Linked DNA regions of Canis lupus familiaris. The protein of the gene in region 1 interacts with the protein of each later gene in a pairwise test. Links are inferred from orthologs where the notes say so. Each region holds a gene or a part of one and is shown in the gene's direction. Other genes may lie near its edges.

Region 1 (4,259 bases):
CAGGGTTTTCAATACTAGTATTAGTCTGAACCAAATTAAGAACATTGTGTTCAGGGATCCCTGGGTGGCGCAGCGGTTTGGCGCCTGCCTTTGGCCCAGGGTGCGATCCTGGAGACCCGGGATCGAATCCCACATCGGGCTCCCGGTGCATGGAGCCTGCTTCTCCCTCTGCCTGTGTCTCTCTCTGCCTCTCTCTCTCTCTCTCCGTGTGACTATCATGAATAAATAAATTTAAAAAGAAAAAAAAAAAATTAAAAAAAAAAATTAAAAAAAAAAAAAAGAACATTGTGTTCTGGGCAGCTGGATGGCTCCTTCAGCCCAGGGCGAGATCCTGGAGGCCTGGGATTGAATCCCACGTTGGTCTCTCTGCATGGAGCCTCTTTCTCTCTGATGGATAAATAAAAAAAAAAAAAAAAAAAAAAGAAAAAAAAAAGAACATCTTGTGCTGGGGGCGCCTGGGTGTCTCAGCAGGTTAAACGTCTGCATTGGGCTCAGGTCATGATCCCGGGGTCCTGGGATGTGCAGCCCCTGCATGGGGCTCCCTGCTCGGCGGAGAGTCTGCTTCTCTCTCTCCTTTGCCCATCCCTCTGCCGGTGCACTCTCTCTCTCTCAAATAAATAAATAAAATATTTTTTTTAAAAATGTCTTGTGGGGCAGCCCAGGTGGCTCAACGGTTGGGCGTCCGCCTTCGGCCCAGGGCATGACCCCAGGGTCCTGGAATCGAGTCCCACGTTGGGCTCCCTGCATGGAGCCTGCTTCTCCCTCTGCCTGGGTCTCTGTGTCTCTGGTTAACAAATAAACAAAAATCTTAAAAAAAAAAAAAAAGGTCTTGTTTAGCTCCATCTCTGTACTTGCGCAGAGGCGGCGTATCTTAAAATGAAGGTTGCCCGGGGCACTGCTGCCTTAGAGGGTGGCACCCCTGCCCTTAAGGACAGTGAGGGTAGGGACGAAGGGAGAGAGAGGGAGGCTACAGGAGGCGGCAGGCCGGGCCCTGCGCGGGGCCTCCCTCGGGCAGAGGGGCAGCGACGCAAGTGCAGGCGGGCACCTGCCGGCGGGACGGGCAAGGCGGCCAGGACCCACTGACGGCGCCGCCAGCCCGCGCAGTCCAGGGGCCGGGGCCGGGGCCGGGGCCGCCGCGCTCCGCAGGTGAGGTCACCTTGAGCTGCTGCGCAGAGGTGGAAGCAGGTTCCGGGGAGCGGCTTCAGCGGCTCTGCCCCCGAGCGCCCCAGAGAGAGAGAGAGAGAGGAGGGGGGGGGGCGGAAAAAACAAAGGCAAAACCAAAAAAAAAAAAGCCAACAACCGTGTTTGGAGACAATACCTGCATTCGGTTTTCTTCCCGTCGTGGGACGCGGGTGGGGGTGGGAGGGCGAGACCCAAGGGGCGGGGCCGCCGCGCGCCGGGGGGGCGGGGCCACGCGCGCCCGCCCTCCAGCTACTGGACGCCGCGCGGGAGGGGCGGGGCTTCCGGTGGCGGCGGCGCTCGGGCGTCGGGTGACGCGAGGCGGACGGGCCGTCACGTGACACGGAAGTGACTACGAACAGGAAGAGGACGAAAAAAATAACCGTCCGCGACGCCGAGCCGAACCGGACCCGCAGCCACCATGAACAGCAAAGGCAAGGGCAGGGGGCGGCCGGGGCCGTCGGGGGGACAGTGCTAGCCTGGAGCGAGCGGGCCCGGAGCCCGGGGTCGCCAAGCGGAGGCTTGGGGCGCGCTGCGCCTCCCTCCCCGGCCGGCTGCGGCCCCGGGGGCCGCGCCAGACGCCTTCGTCATCCCCGAACTGCGGCTGCTCGCTGCTTCCCGGCCCTTTCCTCCTTAAACTCTGTGGCGCAGTTTGGAGCTGCGGGCTCGGGTGGAGGGGCGGGGGGGTGCAGGGGGGAGGCTTGTCATGATGGGCATCTGCGGGAGCAAATGGGGAGCTAGAGCAGGGATGCGGGTCGGCCAATGGCGCGCCGGCGGGGGCGGGGCTTCGCGCTCCGGAACCAGAGGCCGGCGCCCGGGCTTAACCAGTGCGGCGCCGGCGGGCGGGCCCCGGGGCCCGGGGGCCCGGGGGCGGCGGAGGGGTCTCCCTCCGCGTGCCTCGCGCGGCCGCCCGAAGTGCCCCCGGCTCCTGGGACTGTGCCGGCGTCGGGCCCCACACGGTCCTCCGCTGTGCCTCAGGACGGTTCCCGTTATCCTCCCTCGGGTCCCGAGGGCTCACGTCCATCGCGCGCTGTATTCGGAAGGCGACCTTGAGTAGGAAGCGGCGGGGCAAATAACCCGCAACCTCCGTGACCCAACGAGGTCGCGGCTCGGTCCAGCCAGGCCTGTGGCGACCACCCGGAGCCGGGGCAGCGCGTCCCTGCCGTTGGGCACGGGCAGGAACGGGGCCCCACACCTGCCCTGCATCGATGGAGAAGCTCGGGTGTGCCAGTGGGAGGACTGCCCCGGTAGGAGTAGGGATAAGGGTGCGAAGAGAATATTCTCTCGGCCCCAGAAATCAGCCCCCACCCCCACCCCACCACCCAGAGCGGTCTGTCTACACATCTCCAGCTTGCTGCCCCTAGGGCAGCTACCCAGGATGCTCTGCCCCATTTTGGTGGCTCTGTGTGGTAGGCAACATGCATTTTCTTTTTCTTTCCTTTTTTTTTCTTTTTTTCTTTCTTGTCTTCCAGGTCAATATCCAACGCAGCCAACCTATCCCGTGCAGCCTCCTGGGAACCCAGTGTACCCTCAGACCTTGCATCTCCCTCAGGCTCCACCCTATACTGATGCTCCACCTGCCTACTCAGAGGTGCTTCCAGTTTACTAGACTTGAACCCAGTGCTCTTGGGTCACATCTTCAGTCCTTAGCTAATAAGCCTGAGTCCACGCATATCTATTCAGTGTCCGTAAATAGGAGAAGGGAGGGCTCACGTGAATAGTCTGAAACACTGTACACTTCAGCGCAATTTCTGTTGGGGTTGAGACTGCATCATCTGATTGTTTCATGTTTTTTTTTTTTTTTTTTTTTTGGCACCGGGTGAGGTTAAGAAGATGAGCTTGCGTTCCTTGAGCCTCACGTTAGCTATGGCAGGAAGTGATGCAGGAGGGTACTGAGTGGCAGTGGAAAGGCAGTTTGTGTAACTCAAGAGTGTAATCTGCACAAGGACAATTAAGAATTGAGCGTAGAAGGGATCTAAAATCGGAATGTCATAAAGTAACCTGTTGCCTTCTCTTCTAGCTCTATCGTCCGAGCTTCGTGCATCCGGGGGCTGCCACGGTCCCCACCATGTCAGCTGCATTTCCTGGCGCCTCACTGTATCTTCCCATGGCCCAATCTGTGGCTGTTGGACCTTTAGGTTCCACAATCCCCATGGCTTATTATCCAGTTGGTCCCATCTATCCACCTGGTTCAGCAGTGCTGGTGGAAGGAGGGTATGATGCAGGTGCCAGATTTGGAGCGGGGGCTACTGCTGGCAACATTCCTGTGAGTATGACCTTATCAGAACAACTCAGCTCTTACGTAGTTTAACTTTCTGAAGAGATTACATATTCATCCTTTCACCATCCCTGGGTAATAGCTGTGGTATGGGTATAAGCACTGACATCCAGTAGTTGGGCAGAAAGCAGTTGAGGGGGCAGGAGAACTGTGGCAAGTCAGTAGCATCTGGCACATTCCCTGGGGCCTGAGTTAACCAGATTCCTTTGTTTTCCTATACCTCTTTAAAGCATTAGGAGTCCTGCCTGCTGCTTTTGCAGTTCCACTTTGGTACTGGTCTAGTAATACTCCTTATTCAGCCTGTAACATTTACTTCAAATTTGCCTTCAGTATGGCATTCCATTAAGAAACGTGATAAAAGAAAAACGTGATGAGTAAAAATGGAGAAAGACACATGAGATAAGCACTGTGTGTTATATGTAGGCAACTTGAATTTAAATAAAATAATAATTTTTAAAATCCTGAAAAAAATGAAGAAAGCATAGTCCCCTATTAAGTGGCATTTAGAAAGATACTAGAGATTTTAGTTATGTTGCCTGCTTAGCTCCCCCCTCTATAAGAATTAGAGCCCAGGTGGTCCTTGCCTCAAAGCCATATACCTGAAATGAGGTGAGAATGCCTTTAAATGAGTGGTAGGCTCTTTTCCTGTCTGTACCTTTGGGTTCACAGAGAATATAGACCTGCTTTACAACCCACGTTGGCAGAACTAGCTTTAAGATGTGATTGGTCAGGACACTGCCATCTTTCTAATGGATCCTGTTTCACGTGTGTCCACTTCCCTTGTCTCAGCTGCCCTCTGCCC
Region 2 (3,500 bases), on another chromosome or scaffold:
TTTTCAATTAAAGATATATTAACTTTAATTTTATACCTTTAGGTATAAAAGTTTAGAAGTAAGACATGATATTATTAAATATTGATAAATATTGACAATTTATTATATACGTTCCTTAAAATAGAAAACACAAATATTAATTTTGGTATAAAAAGAATGAAAATATCGTCTTTTTTTTTTTTTTACTATAATAGATAGATCAAATACTGATTCATCAGCAAATTGAGCTTCTGGAAGGTATGTATTCATTTTATTGACCATATTTCTAGAAAGAAGATGTTTTTACAGATAAAAGCATATCAGCAACCACAAATATAACACTTTCACTGATGTGGAACAGTTAAATCTGATTATTTACAAATGTCTTTCTTCATGATAATGAAATGATGGCAATTATCAGTGGCACATTTCTGGAAATTAGAAGTCAACTTGTAAAACACCATTATTCTGAGCATCCATCCTCATGCCAACTTAGAAGGAAGCCCATCAAAAGTACTTTTGCTCCCACTTCCCTCTAGAAATCATTTCAGCTGTTTTCTCCAGCCTGACATGATCTTGATGCTGACACAGAACCATATGCACTAGTTCAGTTACCTTGGTACATTTCTAAAGCCAGGAAAGTCCTTCAATTTGGATGGGTATGTTTTGGAAAATGTATTCTTGCCAACAATTTATATCAGGAGTTCATATGAACCTTGTAAGACCTTTGTTCTGTGGGCTGTGGATTATCACCTTGGGTGCAGGGCTAATGCATTGTTGGAGGATGCTGATCAGTAGGCTTGGAGGCCTGGCTTCTTAAAACAGCACTCCTGCTCATGTGAATGGCAAATAAATATTTCCTTGGGTACAGCACTCCTGAGGTGCAAGGTAAACTTAAGAAGCCACCAGATGCTTCAAGACTCTTACCAGGGGAAAGAGAACCTAGATGCCTTCATGAACCATGGTGTCTTTCTTCTAGATATAAAGAGTAATGAACGCTCAGCTAGAGTTTATAATATATCTGTTAAGTCCTTCATCTCTCTGCAAAGTTTGTTTCCAATGATAGAAATTATAACTATGAATAGTAAGAGCAGAATAATAGATTTAGTTTTGCCTGTTTTATTTAAATTGCTTATAATGAAAAAAAAGTAATAAATTGCTTATAATGTACGTTGTTAGATATTTATAATATGCGTGTTTTTAGTTAATACTAAGTTTTCCCTGGAAAGGCATTCTTTGTTGCTTGATAATTAGTACTTTGAATTTTTTAATGTTTTAAGAAATTTATTTTTGATGTCATAAAATCAAACCAAACCAGATACTGTACATCATAAAGCACTCCCCATTTATAGTTTTTAAATGTATAAGTTTTATACATATCATGAAAGGTAAAGTAAGTTCAAAATTTATAGTTATTCTTCAGTTTTCTAATAGTGATGTCTTCAATTTTCTTCTTTTCTCTTCATCTCAATGAAAGTATATATTGTAACATGATAGCATAAAGAGATGGAGATTATTCCATTTATTTTTACCATCTGAGTGTATGACAGGCACTTACACACTTCCCAATTCAAAACTTTATAGACAGTAATGATGACCATAGAAGTCTTATTTCATTCTCATTTTGTAACTAGAAGGTAACTTAGAGATTGTGTAAACCCATTCATCTCATTTTACAGATAAACTAGCTAAGAATTTGAGATTAAGCTAGCTAATGAAACATTTAGATAACAGACTCCATGTTACGAATCAGTTTAATTTTTTTCTTACACAGCACTTGACTGGCAGATGTTGAGGTCAAGGGTGGTTCTTTTAAAAATCCAAAGGCTGGCTGAAGCCAGCTAAGATACTTAAGAGAGGCCATGATCATAGAATTTATGAAGGACATCTATATCTGACTAAGTCTATCCACACAGATATTAGAGAATATTTTTTGTCTCCATATGTATCTCTCTATCATTCATTATATATTGGTGGCTTTCTGGCATCTCATGACCCACGTTAATGAGGACTGTAGACTAGTAGGACTGTTAATGTTCCCCTGGCTCTAAGCAAGGAGAGGTTTGCAATGTGTGATTCAGTATAGGAGCCCATTGGTAAGATGTCACATGGACATCAGCATTTAGCATACCTCTGTCCCCTTGTGAAAAGATTAGCCTCCTCCAGAGTACAGAATTTACGTAGGATGCCAGTGGTCTAGATAGCCTATTGAGTTGCAGCCTTGGTTGCGAAGCACCTCTTCCCATTGTCTAATACCCATCACCCACTTCTGAATAACTACCGCTAAGCTAAACCATTTTTTTTTTCCATTTTGGCAGCATTGCTACTCATATTTGGAAATTGCACCACTGATCAGAGCTGTGTTCCTTCATCCAACCCACTATTTTTAAAAGGGTTTAAGAAAGAGTTCCTTAACAATTTAGACATTTTTCATAAATATGGAGATTAAAAAATGTGCAAAGGCCAGTAGAGCAAATCTTAAACCAGGGTGCTCTGAGCCCAATGTGATGTTCTAATTCACCCTCCATTTTAACCCCCTCCCTTTCTTAATGCACAAGTGTGCATTAAGAGTAAGCCCTGTCATTACTCACCATCACACAGTGCAAAAACATAAGCCATGAATATTATATATAAAAAAACTCAAGCCAATTTATTCAACAGAATATTTCATAGAGTATGAACATAGCAACCATCCTATATTCCCTTATATAATTGAATATTAGAAAACTATACCAAGCAAGTGGATATTTTCTGCATGCACAAAGCAAGCTATGACCATCTACATCACTGTACCATCCCTCAGAAGCAGTCTGTCTTTCTGACATGAGACTATGGAATTAAGAAGATAGGAGTTTTCTTTTCCCTGTCTTACACAGAGACTTTAATTTCTCTGTTCCTTAATACCTTCTCCTTCTTTTTTCCCTTTATCTTTTATCCTCTATCTAGATCATCTCTAAACACCTTTCCTTTTTGTTAAAGTATGATCTACAAATGGTAGGATATAGTATCTTAGGATAGATTCGATATTCTTTTAGTATAATGGTCATAATGATTCCCTCTCTTATGTTTTTAGTCATAACAGGTTTTGAAACTAATAACAAATATGAAATTAAGAACAGCTTTGGACAGAGGATTTACTTTGCAGCAGAGGATACGGATTTCTGTACCCGAAATTGCTGTGGAGCTTCTAGGCCTTTTACCATAAGGATTCTTGATAATATGGGCCAAGAAGTTATAACTCTGGAGAGACCACTAAGGTGTGGCAGCTGTTGTTGCCCTTGCTGCCTTCAGGAGGTCAGTGAGTAGTTCAGTAAGAATTGTTACCCTTTTATTGAATTTATGTAATCAAATGAGATTTAAAGGAAAATTGATCCATAAGCTTATTGGTTTATACTTGAGAATAAATTGTCCAAGAAGAAAGGCAGGTGAAAAACAATGAGCAGTTAGCCTCATGGCCATGAGTAGTGTGTCTGTCTCATGGGGTTGAGATCAGAGATCTGAGACCAGGCTTCTTGATCTTC
Region 3 (3,969 bases), on another chromosome or scaffold:
TGGACCCAGTGTTTTCTGGAGGTAGTGGCAATAGGTGATTCAATATTGAACTTTTAACCAGAGTAAGGATTATTCTTATTATTGAAAATTTTGGGAATCCCTGGGTGGCTCAGCGGTTTAGCACCTGCCTTCAGCCCAGGGCATGACCCTGGGGACCCCGGATCGAGTCCCACGTCGAGCTTCCTGCATGGAGCTTGCTTCTCCCTCTGCCTGTGTCTCTCATAATAAATAAATAAATAAATAAAATCTTAAAAAAAGAAAATTTTGTCAGTTGTCATTTTCTTGGGGGGGGTATATACATATACAAGAATGCTTTCTAGATGAATTTACCTTTATTTGTTAATTTGAGTATAGCATGTAACTCTTTGGATACTATTCCGAGACAAAAATGATTCAGATCTAAGATTTTTTAAAATCTCGAAATCGAAGTATGCCACTTATAAAAATGAACTTTTTACTCAACATGGTATGTTAGAAAATGGTAAACCAGTATGGCAAATACATAACTGTTGGCATCCAAGAGTCAAGGCACTAAGGGTTAGGAAGGTATTTTAAGGGCTAAATCAATAAGGCGAGGTGACAAATTTGGATATGTGGGGTTTGGCTGAAATAATGCAGTTCTTCGGATGACTAGAGTTAAAATTTCTTTTTTTTAAAGATTTTAGGGCAGCCCCGGTGGCTCGGCGGTTTAGCGCCGCCTTCAGCCCGGGGTGTGATCCTGGAGACCCGGGATCGAGTCCCACATGGGGCTCCCTGCGTGGAGCCTGCTTCTCCCTCTGCCTGTGTCTCTGCCTGCCTCTCTCTGTGTGTCTCTCATGAATAAATAAATAAAATCTTTAAAAAAATAAAGATTTTATTTATCCATAAGAGACACAGAAAGAGAGAGGCAGAGGGAGAGGGAGCCCGATATGGGACTCAATCCCGGGACTCCAGGATCACGCCCCGGGCCAAAGGCAGGCTCTAAACCGCTGAACTACCCAGGCGACCCTAGAGCTTTAATTAGTAAAAAGTTACTGTCTCTGAGCCGGTTCACATCACTAACCAGCTTCTGATACGCTGAAAGCCAGAGCAATAAAGTATTGTAAAAGCTTGCTAGAGAGGCACAGGAAGTTGCCTGTAAAGGGGGCGTGGCGTCGGAAAATAAGTTTCCGCCAAACGAAGGAAAATAGCGCTTCCGGTTACGCCATCGTTGTGTCGGGGCTTTCTTCACTGAGGTGAGTGGAAAGAAAGAGGCTCATAATTTTCACAAGTGAGTCTCCAAACCCTCCCGGGAAGCTTTCCTCCTTGCTTCAACATGGGGTGGAAAGATTTCATCCCCAGAGCACATTGTGTGAAGGATGTTTCTGACGCTTATGGTTCCGGTCGCCTGTCTACCTATTCTGAAGATGGCAGGCTGTCCTCCCTCTCTATTTTTGTCCTTTTATCCCTGGTCATTCTTCACCTCTCCTCGTTACCCCAGATCCTCTTCCTGATATTTCTGAGCCTGGGCCATTTCCTCTACCACAGATTTTTTTCCTACCTCTTAACTTCCACCTTCTTCCCCGGCCCCTTTTAGCCTCAAAACTTTTGCAACCCCCTTCTCCCGTTAGGAATCTACGCCCTTCCTTTTTCTTCAGCTCCAGTACTTTACTTTCCACCCCCCCCGCCCCTCCTGCCCGCCTCTTTCAGAGTCCTTTGAATTAAAAACTTGCCAAAACCAGGTGTGACTTCAGTTTCAAGGTCAACTCTTTTATTTCCTTAAAATAAGCAGTGGCAGAAATTTTAGTCCTAAGACACAGGAGCTTGTTCAGATTATTATATTATTGCTGAGTTTATTTTTACTCTTAACCAAAATGATACATCAGAAACTGCACTGATTTTAACCCTCCTGACATAAAAAAAAAAAAAAATTGGCACAGAACTCAATCCCCACTTTTTAGAGGAGCAGTCATAGGGGTTTTGCCTGTAAAACTTGTGTCAATTCTTGATGGTCGAAGCTTTCCCATCTCCTTTAGAACTTGTCATAGGACAGAAATGGTTGACGGATATGACATCCAATCACAAATTTATTTTTTCATATGAGTTATGCCTATTCAAATCTTTTTCTGGTCTTTGGTGGCAACATTGAACAGCAAGCTGACAGATTTTCAAAGTTTTCCTGGGAACTTCGCAAGTATTCTCTATTTCGTGCAAGGTGAAATATATTTTTCTGTTCCATTCATCATGTTTACTTTGTCTCGTGAGAACGTTAGTTAATCACAATTTATTATTCAATTTTTTACCCAAGAGAGGGGATATGATCATTAAACTTAAAATGAGTGTCAGGATTATTCAGGCTCTAAAGAGGAATTTATTCACCAAGAATTCCCTTGAACAAGCAATTTATTCCTTTCCTCCTGTAACTAGTGTGTTATACTTGCCAAAATAAGACGTAAATCTTTTTCTGGGCTAGGTGTAATTTTCAGTTCGTTTAGAAAAAAGTCAGGCTCGACTTCATGATACTAAAACACTTAAAAACTTTTTTGAAGGGTATTGCTGATGTCTCTGTATTCTCTAGTCAAGTTATAGTAACACAGCATTTAAATATCCCACGGCTTCAACCCAGTGTGCAACCATCATTTATTCATCTAAGAATTTTTTTATTGAATAACTTTATGTGTCAGACAGTGTTAAGCACTGAGGATACAACAGTGGAAAATAAAAAGCTTATTAAACTTTAGTTGAGAGACAGTAAATGAATATATAGTAAATATGAGTAAGTTGTAATGGAGAGGAGATGTAGTATTTTAAATAGGGATGGTGAGGAAGGCTTCCCTGGTAAGGCAACATTTGAGCAGAAACCTAAAGGAAGTGAGGGCACGAACTATGTACAGCTATTAATGGGAAAAACAGGATATATCTTATGTTGGTGTCTCTGTATTTGTTCACTCTGCTTCCACACCCCCCTTGCCCATTGTCACTTTTTTGCATGGCTTTAATGTAGCACTCTACATACTGAAATAACCTAATCCAGGCACATACATTTCCCATATTCTTTTGTTTTTTAATCTTGGCGAGCTTCTTGCTATCAATTAGGTATGTTGTTAGTTACCAGCCCTCTAGGAAGACATGTCTTTACATACATTTAGGTATGTTGTTAGTTACATACCTAATACGTCTAGAAGACGTATCTTTACATCCATCCTCACGTCTTCTTCAATCTTTTATCCGCAGTGCATTGTGTGCTATCCTACAGCATATTTGCTTACCTCTCTCACTGCTCTTATCACTGTGTGCTCATGATATGTTGCCCATAAATGTTTGGTATGTTAAATTGGAGGAATTGAGTACTTGTCTGTCTGTACAGGCAATCTTTTAAATATAGTTGGCCCTGGGATGCCTGGGTGACTAGGTAGTTGAGCATCTGCCTTTGGCTCAGGTCGTGATCCTTGGGTTTTGGGATTGAGTCCCGCATCAGGCTTCCTACAGGGAGCCTGCTTAACCTATGTGGTGGTATTGTTTGATCTTTCATTTGTATTCACAATTTATTTGTAATTGATTTCTTTGTATGTTTTCAGTATGAGTTATTGGTATGCGTAAAGGCCCCCCTTTTGTACATTTTTTGAAATGGACATTCAAGGGTGCCTGAGTGGCTCAGTCGGTTAAATGTCTGCCTTTGGCTCATTTCATGATCCCAGGGTCCTGGGATCAAGCCCTGTATTCGACTCTTTATTCAGCGGAGAGTCTACTTCTGCCTCTCCCTCTGTGCCCCCACTTCACCTCATGCTCCCACTCTTTAAAAAAGCAGATATTTAATCAACCTAATATCACTATTGAAAAGATAGCTATTTCCCTCCTATAGAGTCATGTTTTTCATAAATCAAATGACTAAGTTATTTATGTGGGTTTATTTCTTCTGAATTTTGTTCTGTTTGGTTAATTTTTCTATCCTTATATAAGTACCACTGTTATAATGGATGTCCTTTTATAATATATATCATATGTATATAG
Region 4 (4,122 bases), on another chromosome or scaffold:
GGAGTCCTGGGATCAAGTTCTACATTGGGAATCCCAGCTCAGCGGGGAGCCTGCTTCTCCCTCTGCCTTTTTCTCTGCCTGTGTCTCATGAATAAATTTTTAAAAAATCAGAATTAAAACAACAACCTAATGAAAAAAGGTCAAGATTTTATTTTTTAGGATTTTATTCATGAGAGACACAGAAAGAGGCAGAGATATAGGCAGAAGGAGAAGCAGCAGGCTCCATACAGGAACCCGATGGGGGACTCGATCCCGGAATTCCAGGATCACCGCTCAGGCCGAAGGCAGACGCTCAACTGCTGAGCCACCCAGGCGTCCCAGGTCAAGATTTTAAATATAGTTTTACTGACGTCTGCTGACTCAGGATTCCTTATAGCTCCATAAGGCATTACAGATTCACTGCCTCCTGACGGCAGGGTAAGTTGTTCACACTAATGTCATTTTCCATAGACCATTTTCCCTGTCCAAAAATAGGTCTTCCCCAGGCTTGGGTATTTGCAGTTTCTCTATTGCCTCTTTTCCAGTAGGAGAAGTGTGGGTTCTGGTGGAGCATACCCAGGAATAAGTCTTCCTTTAAGACGTTTCTAATAAAATGCCCCTGCCCAGTGACCCACTAAGGGGTTACCCAAAGAAGCAAAATGTACTGATACCGCATATTTCTAGTGTAGTTTTACATATAAAAATCTATGTACATACTGTATGTATATACATTTTGCACACTATATAATTACGGCAGATTCCTTGACAGCCGGGGGAATGTGTCAATCATCCTACAGACCTGACCCAAAGTAGGTAAAGGTTCTTTCAAAGATGAACATGTGGGGCCCCCTTCCCCGTATGGCTCCTGTAGCGCTCCCCAATTTCGGCCCGAGGGCCGGGATTCACTGGTTGGCCGCATTCACAGCCAGCCGGCATCCAAGCCCGGCTGTAAAAATCTCTAAGCGTAGGAAATCCAGAAGCAGTCCTCAAACCAGTCCAGGAAACAAGCTAGCAGTTTCCGCCGAGGTGCCCAGAACGTCACTGGCTACAGGCATTTCCTCCGAGGGCTCAGAATTCCGGAAAACCGGGGAGCGGTCCTCCCTCCCGCGGGAGGAAAACAGCCGCCCCGGGGCGAGCGGGAGGAGCAGCCGCCCGGCCCCGCCCCGCCCCGCCCCGCCCCGCCGGGCAGGCCGCAGTGCAGCGCGAAGCCTGCGGGGGGCGCCCGCGGCCGCACCCGGCCCGGGGAGGAGGGGGGAGAGCGCGCGGGGGCGGCGCGCTCGGCGCTTCCTGTTCCGGCGCCAGGAGGAGCCGCGCGCTGTTAGTGCTGCCGCTGCCGCCGCCGCCGCCTCCGCCTCCGCCGCCACCGCCGCCGCTGCTGCCGCCGCCACCGCCGCCGCCGCGCTCGTCAGTCAGTCCGCGTTCGGTTCTTCAGCACCCGATTCCCCCGGACCCATCGCCGCTTCTAGACTTTGCTGCGGGCTCGGATCTGGCCGGGTGAGGCTGCCTCGGCGCTAGTGGGTATCGTGGAGGGGGGCAGGGGAGCACGCCCAAGCGGGAGACGGGCGCGGTAACAGAGGAACCTCGAGTCGCCTCTTCAGGGGCCGGGACTAAACGTCGGCCCCCGCCATCTTCCCTCAGGCTGCGAGGTGCCCCCCGATCGCCCCCCGGGAGGAGGCGTCGGAGGCGGCTGACGTCGCGCCGGACGGGTTTCTCCGCACTTGACGTCAGGCCGGGTTTGGGGGCGGGGCGGCGAGAGGGCCCGGCCCCTCCCCCACCCTCCCCACCCCCACCCCTTTCCGGGCGGCGCGACCCGCTCGGCGGCCGGTTCGCTCCGGTTGATCCCGGACTCCCTTTGTTCGTTGGGCCCTGAAGGCTTCCCGGCTCGCGCCCCCTCGGTCCCCTCCCCCATTCATTAATTTCTAATAAAACGGGAGCGAGGGGCCTGAACAGCCTTGGAGGAATCTGGCACTTGTTTAATCAGATTGTCCGCCGTGTGACAACGTTCCGGTCGTTAGTTGCCGAAGGAGTTGCTACACAGATCCTATTCGACGAATACACATGACAGAAGCCGTGAGTTCGGCGACACTCTCTTTCTTAGGATTTGGGGGCTTGTGTTACGCATGGAAGCTTATAAATAGCTGAGCCGTTTCCTCTTCGAAAACCAAAAGCAGTGCTTTTACTGGTTAAAAATTTCTAATGTTGAGGCATCAGACCGTATTCCCCTGACGGGAAAAAAAAAAAAAAATTACTGCTGAAGAAATACACACTCTTACACACCTGATGGTTGTGAAGGCATGTTCTGTAAAGGAGCCTCCTTTTACAGGCCAAGGTAGCCTTCGGAGAGCTTTCAGAAGTTCTTTGTTCGGCTGTATTCACTGGGCAGCAACAGGAATTTTTCTGGTACTGGCGTCTCTGAACCTCCTATTTAAAACTAGTTTGTCTCAGCGACTTGAGTTGGGTTGTGTGTGTGAGAATGTTCTTTTCTTCTCTCCAGAAGGAACAGAGAGAGACCCATTCCTTAACTGCAAGGCTCGGGGCCGGTATGTTTTGGAATTCAGCAATCTTCGAATTGTGTCTTTAGATTTTAGAAAGAGTAAGATGCGTAGGCCAGAGGTGTCACCCTCACAAGGTCCCAGCAGCATCCCTGAGACTACGGTAATAATGGTGCAGGGATAGGCGTGACTTCATGGAAACTGTAAATATCCTCAGGTCACGTTTTGCCACCCAACTAAGTTTTATGCCAAATTCTGGAATTTTCCTTTTCTTTTCAGAAGTTTCCAAATCGAGAACTGCAGATAAAGGTTTGCAGGCCTGTGACCGCGATTGTAAAAGTTAACGTTTGTTGAGTTTTCCTTGAGTGCCAGAGAGAGACCAGGAGATTTATTTTGTCAGTCTGGGGGCAGGTCTGCAAGGTGGATACTACTCCTGTGTACTTAAACCTCTGGAGTTTGAAGAATTCAACCTGTCCATCACCTGCCAGTGAAGAGCTAGGGTTTTATCTACGCAGCCATAACTTTCAGGGTCATTCTTTTAATCTCTGCTGCCATGCCCATGTAGGAAGAAAGACAAGGGAATATATATCTGTTGCCCATCCACTATTTTTTAGAGCACTGTTATTATAGACACTTAATTTATGAATACCATTTAGTCTTTCGCATCACTAGCCCTTTTATAGTTGAAGAAACTGAGTCACTGGGGTGAGCTGAATCTGATTGAGACATTCAAACCTCAGTTTAAAGGCTCTCTGCTAAAACTTCTATCCCTCCCCTCTCTGTATTCCAACCAATTCGAACTGCTTATATTTCCCATAGCGTATTCTTGCCTGCTTTAGCTTTTGCACGGTCTGCTCTTTCCCGGGGCCTGTCCCATCATCCCCTACTGCCAGCTCTTCATTGTTCTCCCAGACTGCAAAGGAACCTCTTCTCAGGGTTCCTCCCCTTATTCTCCTTTCCTTGATTCCTTTAGGTGCCCTTTAGGTACTCAACTTGGTGCCCTGGGCTTACCCAAAGTAAGGTAGTTACTATTTAAAGGATAGTTCAGGGGGGTTCCTGGGTGGCTCAGCGGTTTACCACCTGCCTTTGGCTCAGGGTGTGATCCTGGAGTCCCAGAATGGAGTCCTGCATCGGGCTCCCTGCCTGGGGCCTGCTTCTCCCTCTGCCTGTGTCTCTGCCTCTCTCTCTCTCCCTGTCATGAATGAATGAATAAATAAATAAATAAATAAATAAATAAATAAACTTTAAAAAAAAAAATAAAGGGTAGTTCACCAGATTGTGAATTCCTTAAATGTCTATTCTGTGTAGTACTCTTCATTTCCCCAAAGCCTAACAAGACAGTGCCTGGTGTGTATATTCCAGGCATAAGTATAAAAAAAATGATACTTTAAAAAATTATGTCTTTTGGGACGCCTGGGTGGCTCAGCAGTTGAGCATCTGCCTTCAGCTCCAGTTGTGATCTCAGAGTCCTGGGATCAAGTCCCCACATCGGGCTCCCCGCGGGGAGCCTGCTTCTCCCTCTACTTGTGTCTGCCTCTCTCTGTGTCTCTCATGTATGAATAAATCTTTTAAAAAAATAAAAATTATGTCTTTCAAAAGCTTAAGAATATTCAAAAACTTTACTAAGTCCTCAGTTCCTTGAGTTGTCCAA
Region 5 (4,141 bases), on another chromosome or scaffold:
AAGTTAATGCTCTTTGGGTGGTAATTCCTGTAAGATAGAAATGATCAAAAGCAAATTTAATGTTGAAAACAGGTATGGTTCCTGAATTTGGCTGAGAAAATACATTTATGTATATTGAAAACAGGATGGGATGCAGTTGTGGTGAGGGTAAAAGTCAAAGGGGTTGAGTGTCAGAGTTCTCCTGGGACGTCTCAACTTGTCAACACCTAAGGTTGTCTTTTAAAGATCACCACATCTTTGGGCCTGGCGTACAGTGATAACTGGACTTCGGTCCCAAACAGCTGCATTTCTGATTTATCTACATCCGTGATTCTCATCCATTCTTTCATCCTCTTTAGAAAGGAGATTTATGCCCCTTGTCCATCCTAATTGTTTGCCTGATATATCTTCTTTTTGGCAGAATTTTTCAGAGAAAAGTTGGTTCCAGCCCTTCGGAAAAAGCAGAAATGTGATAATTTAGTGGTTTAAATCATATGTTGTTTAGCCCCTGGTTATCCATAACTGGAATTTTTAAAAAGCATTCACACACACAGTAAGGAGGGAAAACTCAGCAAAAGTGTATAGAATTACTAAATTCCCTAAAACTATAGTTCTATTGGGAAAAAAAAGAACAGAGAAAAAATCAAATTTAACCATTATATCATAAGTATAACAGTTTCCAAAGTTTTATGAATGAGTATTCAGTTTGCAAAATGATGACAAATTATCTGTTCTTTATGTCAGTTTTTATCCAGATGAGGTTTCATCAAATGGCAAAGTCAGCTATGCTCCTGATTGTTATGACAATTTGAATCCAAGAGGAAAAAAAACACATTTTTTTATGAAGTAAAAAGACCAAATTAAAAACTAAGTTTTATTACCAATAAACTGGGATGGGAGACCGTAAGGTATAAGCCATATTACCCTTCTAGTTTGATATCCATCCAGCTGAAGCTCCTGGCACAACCATCTCTGTCCTTTAAGTAACATTACAGGTGATGTTCTTAAGTTATAATAAAAATACACTCTCTGCTTTGACTCTCTCAGGGAAACAATAAGGACCAAAGTTTGGCAAGAGGCCATGGCCTCCCCTTGAAGGACTCTGGAGAGCCATCAAATGTCCCTAATCCACAGAAAACTCTCACTGAATAGAAACAAACTAGCTTGAACAACTCCCAAAGAAACTCTACTTTAACAGGACTAACATTGCCAGGTCGGCTTTGTCATATTTCTTAGAAAACCTTATGGTGGTGAAGCCTTTTTAGTGAATTCTTCAACTGTAAGATTTACATCGTCTTCATTCAACCTCCATTCTCACCCATGGAATGGAATCTGGAATGTTGGGAAATTGAGGTGGTGGCAGAGAGGGTGAGGGGCAGGCCTGGAATGGTCTTGAAAGCAAGCACGTGGAAGCACTTTGCTGGTCTTCCAGGACACCTGGGGCTGGCCCAGAAGGCGCAGCTGAGGTCTGGGGAGCCTTGTTACCAGGTGACAAATTCTGCTCATCTTTCCAGCAGATTGGATTTGCCCTTTCCCAAGCCCAGAGCGTGGAAACCTCCTTCCCTTAGACTCTTAAATACTCTTGGTATTATTTCTGGATAAAGGAAAAAACACTGAATATGACTTTTTTCCCCCCTCAACTCAACTCTCAATAGCCTTGTCTCACTTCACTAGTTTCATTTTCCCCTTCTTTCCCCTTTTCCCTCAGACACTTGTACCCTCAAGCCATGTGAAATTAATTTTGGATCAATCACTTTAGACACTAGTCTTCAAGTTTTATTAAAATGTTTTTCAACTCATTTCCTTGTTTTTCCCTAAAGGTAAATCACTAAACAAAACACTCTGTGAACTGTAAAAATAATTTGGTCAGCAAATAGCAGCTTTTTCTTCCAGTTGATTTTAAGTGACCTAGAGGTACACCAGAAGCAATACAATGCTTTGTGGACGAGTAACACCTTTGTTTCACGGTGGTGTTCTACAGAGTCCAGCGTCCTTCTTACAGTTCCAGTGCAGGTGGAGGTAACAAGATCTGTCTTTGTGTTTTATGAACTCTTTTTTCTCCAACATTTCATGGGGTAAATGAAAATCATGTCTTATATCATTTTCCACTGACTAACATCACCATCCCCACTGTCCATTCCATAGTTTTTAATGGAAATAACCTTCCTGCATAAACTTCAGTATACTCTGAAACAAACTTCTGTGCTTTTTCTGCATTCTATAATTTATGTGGTCATCAAATGAAGAGGTGCATAGCTTCAAACAACATTGGACACACTTTGTGAACACTTGAAGGTTTTAATGACAGCATTTACATTGTGCATTTGTATAGCACTCTGTAATTGTAAAAGAATTTCAACAAAGGAAGACATTAATTAGATCTAGTTTCCAGTTCCTGTAAGAATGACTTCATCACCTTATTGACTTCATCACCTTTTGCTATTTGTTAATAAACATATTATTGCTTTTTTGGTATCACACTAAAATGTCATATTCTTGTGAAACATTATTTTTTTCACATGGAAAGAAACTAACAGGGTAAATGTCATTTTGTGTAATTTAAAAATACTTTTTTATTTTTTTAATTAAAAATTTTTTAAAGATTTTATTTATTCATTCATGAGAGACAGAGGGGGGGAGAGAGAGAGAGAGAGGCAGAGACACAGGCAGGAGGAGAAGCAGGCTCCATGCAGGGAGCCTGACATGGGACTCGATCCCGGGACTCCAGGATCACACCCCAGGGCCAAAGGCAAGCACTAAACTGCTGAGCCACCCGGGCTGCCTCAAAATACTTTTTAAAGATAATACTCAAAAGACTTTAGGAGACCTTATAACAATGATATTTTTGTATCAAATGTTTAATAACTCAGATTAAGTACAGATTGTTGACTTCCTAGTTTTGTTTAGATTTTTTTTTTTTTTTTTAGGTCGAGTATATGTACAAGCTACATGGCATTATGGACTATTTTTTCTTTTGAAAATTTATTTCAAAGTAGGCATAAAGAAAGGCATAAAGAAAAATATGATGAACATTCATGATTTACCACCTAAGACTGATACTTATAGCATTTTGTCATAAGAAAGATAATGCTGAAGGTCCCATTGTGATTCATCGACTTTGAAAAGTGTGTTTGTAGAATTGGAATTACAGAAGTGGGATCCTCATTAACTCACATTGTCAAGTCTGTTTTCCTGAAGCTTGATGCCTTGTGATGAGAGCTGGAGTCAGTCAAACAGGCAAATTGATATACCCATGTTCTCTCCAGCATATTGCCAATATGCTCTTTGCTGTTTACTTAAGCTCATCATGATTACCTGAAGAATGAATACTTCAACATAAAAAAATGGTGCAAATAACCACTAGTGATTACTATTGGGTACTTCATCTGCCATGATCTAATTCCTGAACTGGCACAAATTTTTTCATCATTTTAGAAAGGTTTGCCACTGCTAATAATTATATAGACTATTTTCTTGTATGGTGAGAAAAATATACATAATTCCTATTCTGTTGTGCCAGTGAAACAATATAGAGACTATAAATACAATTTCCCCTCTACATAAAAAAAAAAAAAATTCAGCAACTTTTTTTTTTTTTTTTTTTTTTAAGGTAGTGGGCATATTTCTAAATTACTTTGAAGGATGAGTATTTAAATGTTAACCTGGGTGCTAGCTCTCTCAGGGAAAGAAATAGGAAGATGAAACAGAGGAACATTCCTAGAAATGAGTGTGTGACCTATGTGGTCCTTACAGTAAATTATACTAATTCTACTTTTATGTTTGTGTGTTGTGATCCTATTAAGCTGATAGAACTTTTCCATTAAGTGGGCAGGTTGATTTCCTGTAGTACTCCTGATTGCTTGATGAGGTGTGTTGTTTTCTTGTGTTTCCATTACAACATTGAGACTAAGAGGGAATCCTCTGTGGTATTTTCACATAGGTTATGAATCTTTTATCTGGTGGTTGTATTTGTATCGGAGAGATGAATATTAATAGCCTCTTGGCAGCAGAGTGACTTTCTTAAAAAAAGGGGTTTCCCTGTGTATGGGTGGATTAACCTTTCAAAATATATGTTTCTACTTAAACCACTTAGTTACTGTTTGATTCAAAGAGTCATAAAGACAACCTCTCCACATCTCTGTTAGACCTTGTAGTATGCTTA
Region 6 (4,057 bases), on another chromosome or scaffold:
AGAGGTAAGGAGGAGTACGGGGCAGAGCGAGAGGGCAGTGGGGGGCGCAGCAGGTGGATGATCGGTGGTGGGGTGGGGGGTGCACTGTACCAGAGCAGGAGGGCAGTGGGGGATGGCAGGTGGACGGCCGGGGGGCGGGGGGGGGGAGAGCAGTGGGAGTGGGGGTGCGGCAGGTGGACGCCCCGGGGGTGGGGGCGTGGCGGGGGGCAGTGGGGGGCGGCAGGTGGACGCCCCCGGAGGGTGGGGGCGTGGCGGGGGGCAGTGGGGGGCGGCAGGTGGACGCCCCCGGAGGGTGGGGGCGTGGCGGGGGAGTAGTTGGGGGCGGCAGGTGGACGCGGGGTGGGGGGGGCGTGGCAGGTGGACGCCCCGGGGGTGGGGGCGTGGCGGGGGGCAGTGGGGGGCGGCAGGTGGACGCCCCCGGAGGGTGGGGGCGTGGCGGGGGAGTAGTTGGGGGCGGCAGGTGGACGCGGGGTGGGGGGGCGTGGCAGGTGGACGCCCCGGGGGTGGGGGCGTGGCGGGGGGCAGTGGGGGGCGGCAGGTGGACGCCCTGGGGGTGGGAGCGTGGCGGGGGGCAGTGGGGGGCGGCAGGTGGACGCCCGGGGGGAGGGGGGGCGCCTAGGCAGGAACGCCCGTCCTGGCCCCGGTGTTCGTGCTGCCCACTCGCACGCCACTGCAGGGCCGCAGGGGGCCGCGCCCCGCCTCGGGATCGCGGGTGCCCGCGCAGGCGTCACGGCCCGTGGACCGGCCCTCGCGCCACAGCGGGTACTGCCGCCGCTCCGTCTGCCCGACCCCCGCGCCCACACATCCGCGTGCAAAAGCTCCCGCGCCGCGAGGATCCGGGGCAGCCGCAGGGTGAGCCGTCGCCTGCCCTCCGGGACCGGGAGCCCTCGGGTCGCCCGCCCCAGGCCCCGAGAGGCGGAGGGGCCGGAAACTCCTCCGGCCACGTGATCGGCGCGGGCCGGCCGGCGAGCGTGCGCACACGGCCAGCTCGGGAGCCGTTTCGCGGGGCGGCGGCCCGGAAGGAGCGACTGCGCAGGCGTCCGCCGGGGGCGCGCGTGCGTGCGGCGCCGGGAGGGGCGTGGCGGGCGTGGCGTCTGCGCAGTGAGCGGCGCGGGGGCGGGGCCAGGCGTCAGCTGACCGAGGCGGCGGCGGCGGCGGCGGCGGCCTCGCGGGGACAGCAGTCGGCGTCGCAGGCTCCGGCGCCGAGGTCCCGGGCACGTCCGCTCCTGGTGGGCGAGGCGGGGCCCGCGAAGCACCATGGCGACCACCGTCAGCACGCAGCGCGGGCCGGTGAGGCTGCGGGCAGGTGGTGGGCGGCGGGCGTGGGCTCCGGAGCCTTCGGGGAGGCCCAACGACGGGCTCCGGGAGAGGTGGCGGCGGGGCCGGGCCCGGACGGAGGAGGGTCCCGGTGCCCCGGGTGGGAGCCCCGGACAGTCCTCACACGGAGAAGCCCCGCCCAGCCTTCCCTGTACGAGGAGAATCCTGAACCCCGGATGCTCCCTGTGCTGCCTCCAGGCTGAGTAAGGCTCCCAGGCCCTGCTGTGTCCCCACTTAGGGGCCACTGGCCGCCTCGTCAGTTTTTCATTTGCAAGCGAGTGGGCGGGGGCCGAGGACCTGGGCGAGTCCTTCCCAGTTCTCTCTGAGCTGCGCGGATGCGGGAGAGTGTAGACTGGCTGAGGATGGCCTCGGGGTAGGGGGCCTCCCTGCAGCCCCGGCAGCCAGCTCCTGATGCAGCAGCTCCTGACGCGCAGCGGGGGAACGTTCTGGTCCTTTTGAGCAGGGAAGAAAGGTTCCTCGGATGCGATGCTTTCCTGTGCCTTCTCTCAAAGTCAGCCGCCCACCGTGAGCTCCCCGTTACCAGGGCCTCTCACCCGTAGAGCTAAGGGAGGATCTTTTCACAGAACGCTTTTCCTGAGTTTGAAAGGAAGACCCAGATTTTGTCAGCGTTCCCCTATGGGCACAGGTGCCCTTTCTGAGGCCTTTGAATGGGACCTGACACGCACTTCCTGTCGGACTTCAGTGTGGAAACATGCCGGAGCCCGTGGGGGAGAGTTCTGGACTCATCCTCGTGGCTTCCAGCTCTCCCATCTTCACAGAGAATTACAGCAGGTCCACTGCCAGCAATTTCTCATGTTTATGCAACTGGCTGATCCCAGAAGCAAGGGAACCAGATTAGCAGCTCCTTTATTTGTCCTCCCACACCCCCGCCCAGGAGCAGTGGGCTTCATAATCTGGCAGGACAGCCCCCTCCCTGGCCTCCTGGGAGCTCAGTGCCCTCATGCAGAATCTCACTGGTGGCATGGGCCTGAGTGTAAACACGCACAAAGCTGGGCTCCGTATCTGGTTGAAGGGAGCCTCCGTAGAGCTCAGCTGGTCCTGTTACTGGGGCAGCACTCAGCTCTGTGACAGCATAAAGCTGAAGCTCCTGACACTCGGGAGTGAGGGAGTGCTGCTGGTCTGACTTCCTGAGTGTGGTATGGCTTTATGTGCACATGGTGGTGTGCAGCACCCATATGGCAGGAGTGGCTCAGGGGTGCCCTCTGTGACCTGTAAACGTGCAGTGACATTAGGTCTGGTCCGGAACTGCGGGGTGGCTCTGGGAAGGGGACATCAGTGTCTGGGGTCTTGAGTGCCAGTGAGGTCATGTGACCTCTTGGCTAGTGTTATGATGATGGTATTTGGGGCAGCACCATACAATGAACAGGCAAGTGTGGTGCCTGCTGTCAGGATCTCCCAGTGCAGCCCGGACAACAGCCCACCAGCATGACCGCACAGGTGAGCTGCATGCTCAGAGCTCTGGGTTGTTTTTTTTTTTTAAAGATTTATTTGAGAGAAAAAGTGTGTGAGAGAAGAGTGTGTAAGCAGGGGAGGAACAGGAGGAGAGGGACAAGCAGACTCTGCCCTGAGCTCAGAGTCCGATGTGGAGCTCAATCCCATGACCCCAGGATCATGACCTGAGCTAAAACCAAGAGTCAGATGCTCAACCTACTGAGGCACCCGGAGCTGTGGGTCTTACCTCAAGAGTTAGATGTGAAGATGGCCTGTCGGGGGCCATGGTTGAAGTGGGTAAGGTTCTTCTAGGAAGAGACACTTGAAGGAGTGGGTGTCATAGGGCTGGGGCTGGAGCGCAGGCGGGCCTGGAAGGAGAGAGGGCAGGTGGGCTGCAGGAAGGCCAGGGAGGGTCATGCGTGTCATGCCTGTGCCAGTGCGAGTGGCAGGTATGGCCAGGGCACTTTTCCAGATGAACGGCCTGCAGGCAGCAGATGGACTGGGTGCTTGAGTTTTATCTAGTCACTACAGTGACAATGTTTTTAGAAAGCTTTTTGCCTGGCACAAGGCCTCTTCAGCGTCCCCTGCTGCTCTCAGAACTAAGCGATCCTTGTAAGGACCATGTCATAGTTGATCGAGTCTGGTGGACCTTGTCGAGCCGAAGGTGCCCCACATTGACTGTATGCTCCATCCCTGCGGGTGGTGGAGGAACATCGGGTGGGGCTCTCCTGGGTATTGGCACTGTGCCAGTGGGCCCCGTCCCTGCACACACCACGCAGGCCTCCACTGGGGCTCCAGGGAGCCCGGAGCCTGGACTCACTCACATGGGGCGTACTCTGAAGTCTGACCACTGCCTCCCACTCACCACCGAGGAGTGACAAGCAGCATCCTTGGGGGTGTGAAGGAGGGAGGGGAGTCTGCTTGGTAGGGGAGACGGGGTGTTTCCTGTGCCCTTGCCCACAGAGGCCTGAGGGGCTGGGTGGGGAGGGTTGAGGACAGGGCAGTGCTGGCCGCTCCCCTTGCTGGGGCTGAGATGGTTGTTCTTCCCCAAATCACCACTGAGACTCATGCCAGGCCTGTGCTGTCTGTTCCCCTCTAATGTTGCTGGTATTCTTGAGAGGACATCCTTTTCTGTCCAGGGTTCTGTCCACTTCACAGACTGTTCAGAAGCAACTGCTGGGCCACAGGAGAAGTAACTGTGTGGAGGCCCCTGCCTGCCTTGTTCAAGCCTGGGGACTTTGTGAACATGCTGCTTTAAACCACAGCAGTGCCCAATCAGCTCATGGGG
Region 7 (2,439 bases), on another chromosome or scaffold:
ATTCATTTCAACGCCTTCATTGACCATTCATTTCGATGCCTGAGTGGCACGGTTGGTTAAGTGGCTGGCTCTTGGTTTCAGCTCAGATCATGAACTCAGGGTTCTGGGATCAAGACCTGCATCAAGTTCCACACTGGGCTCTGCGCTTCCTTCTCAGCATGAACTCTACCTCAGGATTCTCTTTCTCCCTCTGACCCTCCCCCAGCTCACTTGTGCTCTCTATAAAATAAACAAATCTTTAAAAAAATTAATCCACAATCTAATTTTTTTTTTTTTTTACAATTATAAGATTATTAGTTCAGACAGTGGTCTCAAAATGTGATGTAGATATATAGTTCAGGTGGGGATTATAATTAAGATTACATTTTTAACCAGTTTTTAAAACAGAATAGCTATAGGGGCACCTGGATGGCTTATTCAGTTAAGTGGCTGCCTTCTACTCTGGTCATGATCCCAGGGTCCTGGGATCTACTGGCCTCAGCCTTCCTGCTGAGCAGGGAGTCTGCTTCTCCCCTTCCCCCTTCCCCCTGCTCCTGCTCCTGCTCTCTCACTCAAATAAATAAAATCTTATAAAAAACAACAACCAAAAAAACTAGAGTAGCTATAGATAGGGAAAGAATAAAAAGGAGACTTTCCTATGAGCCCAGTGGCATTTGTCTTGCACACTACCAAAAAGAATTCTTTTTTTTTAATTTTTATTTATTTATGATAGTCACAGAGAGAGAGAGAGAGAGAGAGAGAGAGAGAGAGAGAGATTGAGAGAGAGAGGCAGAGACACAGGCAGAGGGAGAAGCAGGCTCCATGCACCGGGAGCCCGACGTGGGATTCGATCCCAGGTCCCCAGGATCGCGCCCTGGGCCAAAGGCAGGCGCTAAACCGCTGCGCCACCCAGGGATCCCCCAAAAAGAATTCTTTAACCAAGTGAATACTATGAAATATCTCGAGTTTAGTTGGACTTACTATGTATTTATCACTTCATTTATTAATTTATTCCAACACATATTTACTGAACTCCACCAGTGCATTCTGGAAATTCGGTGAGCAAGAGGACTGAATAAGAGCTAACAACCTCAGAGCATTTCTTGGTTTTATAAAGTCTGCTTACAGAGAACTCTATCTAGGGTCTATAGGACCCAGGGCTTTGAAGTCACTGCAATGCTTTTTTAGTAAAGGGTCACACTTTGAAGGGATCCCGTCCCTATATTCCATGACGTGAGAGGTTTCTTAAGCAGCTGTAAAGACATCTAACGCAAGAGCAAATCAAATTAACGAGCTTTTTGTGGTGTCAAGAATGAAAATTGGTGCCAAGAATGAAAATGAGGGCCTTGTGCTTTTAACCACACCCCATAGGCAGGGTATATAAAGAAGGTTCTGAGACTGGAGAATCATCACACAGAGGAGTCACCTTCTCCTGCTACCTGAGCCCTCCACTCCTGACACCATGCACTGCAACAACTTCTCCGGTGCTGTCTTCCCAGGATGCTACTGGGGCAGCTTCGGCTACCCCCTGGGGTACAGCGTGGGCTGTGGCTATGGCAGCACCTACTCCCCAGTGGGCTATGGCTTCGGTTACGGCTACAACGGCTGTGGGGCCTTCGGCTACAGAAGATACTGGCCATTTGATCTCTACTGATTTGCTGAAATTGCCGAGGCATAGAATCTTCTCTCCCAAGGTTAAGAGGCACCCTCAACGTTCCTCCTTTGCTCCTTGACCTCCCAGTTGCTGCTTCTCAGACCTAGTACCAGAGTCCAGAGGGAAAGAAATGAAAAAGCAGACGATGCCTTACCTGCCTTCCCTGGATGATGTTCTTTGAGACATTTTCAGAAACTTTATACCCAAACATGTATTTCATCTGAATTTTTCACCATGCTCACGACTCTTGATAAAGTTGTGGATATGTGTGTTGAATTCTCAATAAACTTGTCTCAGCCAGCATAATACTCTTACTTGAGCAGAGTTTCTTTTCTTGGCATGTGCATATTTTCTGTTACATTGAATGGGGAAGGAAGTGGATTTATTTTTTCTCACCTGGGCTTTAGAAGCAGTAAGAAAGCAAATAATCCTTGATCTAGTGTGATAAATAGGCAAGAGGGGGCTGCTTGTGAGGAGGAAAAAAAGCCTGTCTTAACCTTTTACCTCTGACATCACCTCCAATCCTTGGTCCAATGGTACACCATTCAGTGCTTGGTGTTTCTCATCTCACTGCTTATTCCCTCCTCAAGGAAACCCAACATGGGGAGGTGGGGGGCTTTTCAGTTCTTTCCATATTAGTGCAAATGAAATCCACTGTGTTCCTGCTCCTGGGGAGGAGAGAGTGTAGAATAAAATACCATTTTCCCTATTAAAAGATTCTGAAGCCTCAAGTCATAGAAAAGCTATAGACATATTTTAGGAGTCTAAGAGTCTTTTAGGGGAAGGGATTATTCCATAAAACCTAT

The links.
Region 2: the proteins of DAZAP2 (region 1) and PLSCR1 interact in binary tests that used the Homo sapiens proteins (3 or more experiments, as listed by UniProt). The two-hybrid records come from large-scale screens. The link is inferred for Canis lupus familiaris from reciprocal best matches to the Homo sapiens genes DAZAP2 and PLSCR1.
Region 3: the proteins of DAZAP2 (region 1) and MAGED1 interact in binary tests that used the Homo sapiens proteins (3 or more experiments, as listed by UniProt). The two-hybrid records come from large-scale screens. The link is inferred for Canis lupus familiaris from reciprocal best matches to the Homo sapiens genes DAZAP2 and MAGED1.
Region 4: the proteins of DAZAP2 (region 1) and MAPK1IP1L interact in binary tests that used the Homo sapiens proteins (3 or more experiments, as listed by UniProt). The link is inferred for Canis lupus familiaris from reciprocal best matches to the Homo sapiens genes DAZAP2 and MAPK1IP1L.
Region 5: the proteins of DAZAP2 (region 1) and TNIP3 interact in binary tests that used the Homo sapiens proteins (3 or more experiments, as listed by UniProt). The two-hybrid records come from large-scale screens. The link is inferred for Canis lupus familiaris from reciprocal best matches to the Homo sapiens genes DAZAP2 and TNIP3.
Region 6: the proteins of DAZAP2 (region 1) and TOLLIP interact in binary tests that used the Homo sapiens proteins (3 or more experiments, as listed by UniProt). The two-hybrid records come from large-scale screens. The link is inferred for Canis lupus familiaris from reciprocal best matches to the Homo sapiens genes DAZAP2 and TOLLIP.
Region 7: the proteins of DAZAP2 (region 1) and KRTAP8-1 interact in binary tests that used the Homo sapiens proteins (3 or more experiments, as listed by UniProt). The two-hybrid records come from large-scale screens. The link is inferred for Canis lupus familiaris from reciprocal best matches to the Homo sapiens genes DAZAP2 and KRTAP8-1.

What each region holds. Positions count from the first base shown.
Region 1 is NC_049248.1:43,029,511-43,033,769, forward strand, and holds the start of DAZAP2 (DAZ-associated protein 2), read left to right. Parts: upstream 1-1,459; 5' UTR 1,460-1,600; coding exon 1,601-1,613; intron 1,614-2,651; coding exon 2,652-2,770; intron 2,771-3,199; coding exon 3,200-3,368; coding exon of another isoform or gene 3,369-3,445; intron 3,446-4,259. UniProt on the Homo sapiens protein: In unstressed cells, promotes SIAH1-mediated polyubiquitination and degradation of the serine/threonine-protein kinase HIPK2, probably by acting as a loading factor that potentiates complex formation between HIPK2 and ubiquitin ligase SIAH1.
Region 2 is NC_049244.1:42,176,495-42,179,994, reverse strand, and holds part of PLSCR1 (phospholipid scramblase 1), read left to right. Parts: intron 1-194; coding exon 195-237; intron 238-3,052; coding exon 3,053-3,273; intron 3,274-3,500. UniProt on the Homo sapiens protein: Catalyzes calcium-induced ATP-independent rapid bidirectional and non-specific movement of phospholipids (lipid scrambling or lipid flip-flop) between the inner and outer leaflet of the plasma membrane resulting in collapse of the phospholipid asymmetry which leads to phosphatidylserine externalization on the cell surface.
Region 3 is NC_049260.1:44,749,736-44,753,704, forward strand, and holds the start of MAGED1 (melanoma-associated antigen D1), read left to right. Parts: upstream 1-1,169; 5' UTR 1,170-1,214; intron 1,215-3,969. UniProt on the Homo sapiens protein: Involved in the apoptotic response after nerve growth factor (NGF) binding in neuronal cells. Inhibits cell cycle progression, and facilitates NGFR-mediated apoptosis. May act as a regulator of the function of DLX family members.
Region 4 is NC_049229.1:31,205,140-31,209,261, forward strand, and holds the start of MAPK1IP1L (MAPK-interacting and spindle-stabilizing protein-like), read left to right. Parts: upstream 1-1,322; 5' UTR 1,323-1,473; intron 1,474-1,827; exon of another isoform or gene 1,828-2,037; coding exon of another isoform or gene 2,038-2,049; intron 2,050-2,355; exon of another isoform or gene 2,356-2,379; intron 2,380-2,612; exon of another isoform or gene 2,613-2,634; intron 2,635-2,650; exon of another isoform or gene 2,651-2,674; intron 2,675-4,122.
Region 5 is NC_049240.1:19,692,466-19,696,606, forward strand, and holds the start of TNIP3 (TNFAIP3-interacting protein 3), read left to right. Parts: upstream 1-1,341; 5' UTR 1,342-1,365; coding exon 1,366-1,467; intron 1,468-4,141. UniProt on the Homo sapiens protein: Binds to zinc finger protein TNFAIP3 and inhibits NF-kappa-B activation induced by tumor necrosis factor, Toll-like receptor 4 (TLR4), interleukin-1 and 12-O-tetradecanoylphorbol-13-acetate.
Region 6 is NC_049239.1:46,023,769-46,027,825, reverse strand, and holds the start of TOLLIP (toll-interacting protein), read left to right. Parts: upstream 1-1,257; coding exon 1,258-1,290; intron 1,291-2,487; exon of another isoform or gene 2,488-2,763; coding exon of another isoform or gene 2,764-2,775; intron 2,776-4,057. UniProt on the Homo sapiens protein: Component of the signaling pathway of IL-1 and Toll-like receptors. Inhibits cell activation by microbial products. Recruits IRAK1 to the IL-1 receptor complex. Inhibits IRAK1 phosphorylation and kinase activity.
Region 7 is NC_049252.1:26,352,243-26,354,681, reverse strand, and holds KRTAP8-1 (keratin-associated protein 8-1), read left to right. Parts: upstream 1-1,401; 5' UTR 1,402-1,441; coding exon 1,442-1,633; 3' UTR 1,634-1,939; downstream 1,940-2,439. UniProt on the Homo sapiens protein: In the hair cortex, hair keratin intermediate filaments are embedded in an interfilamentous matrix, consisting of hair keratin-associated proteins (KRTAP), which are essential for the formation of a rigid and resistant hair shaft through their extensive disulfide bond cross-linking with abundant cysteine residues of hair keratins.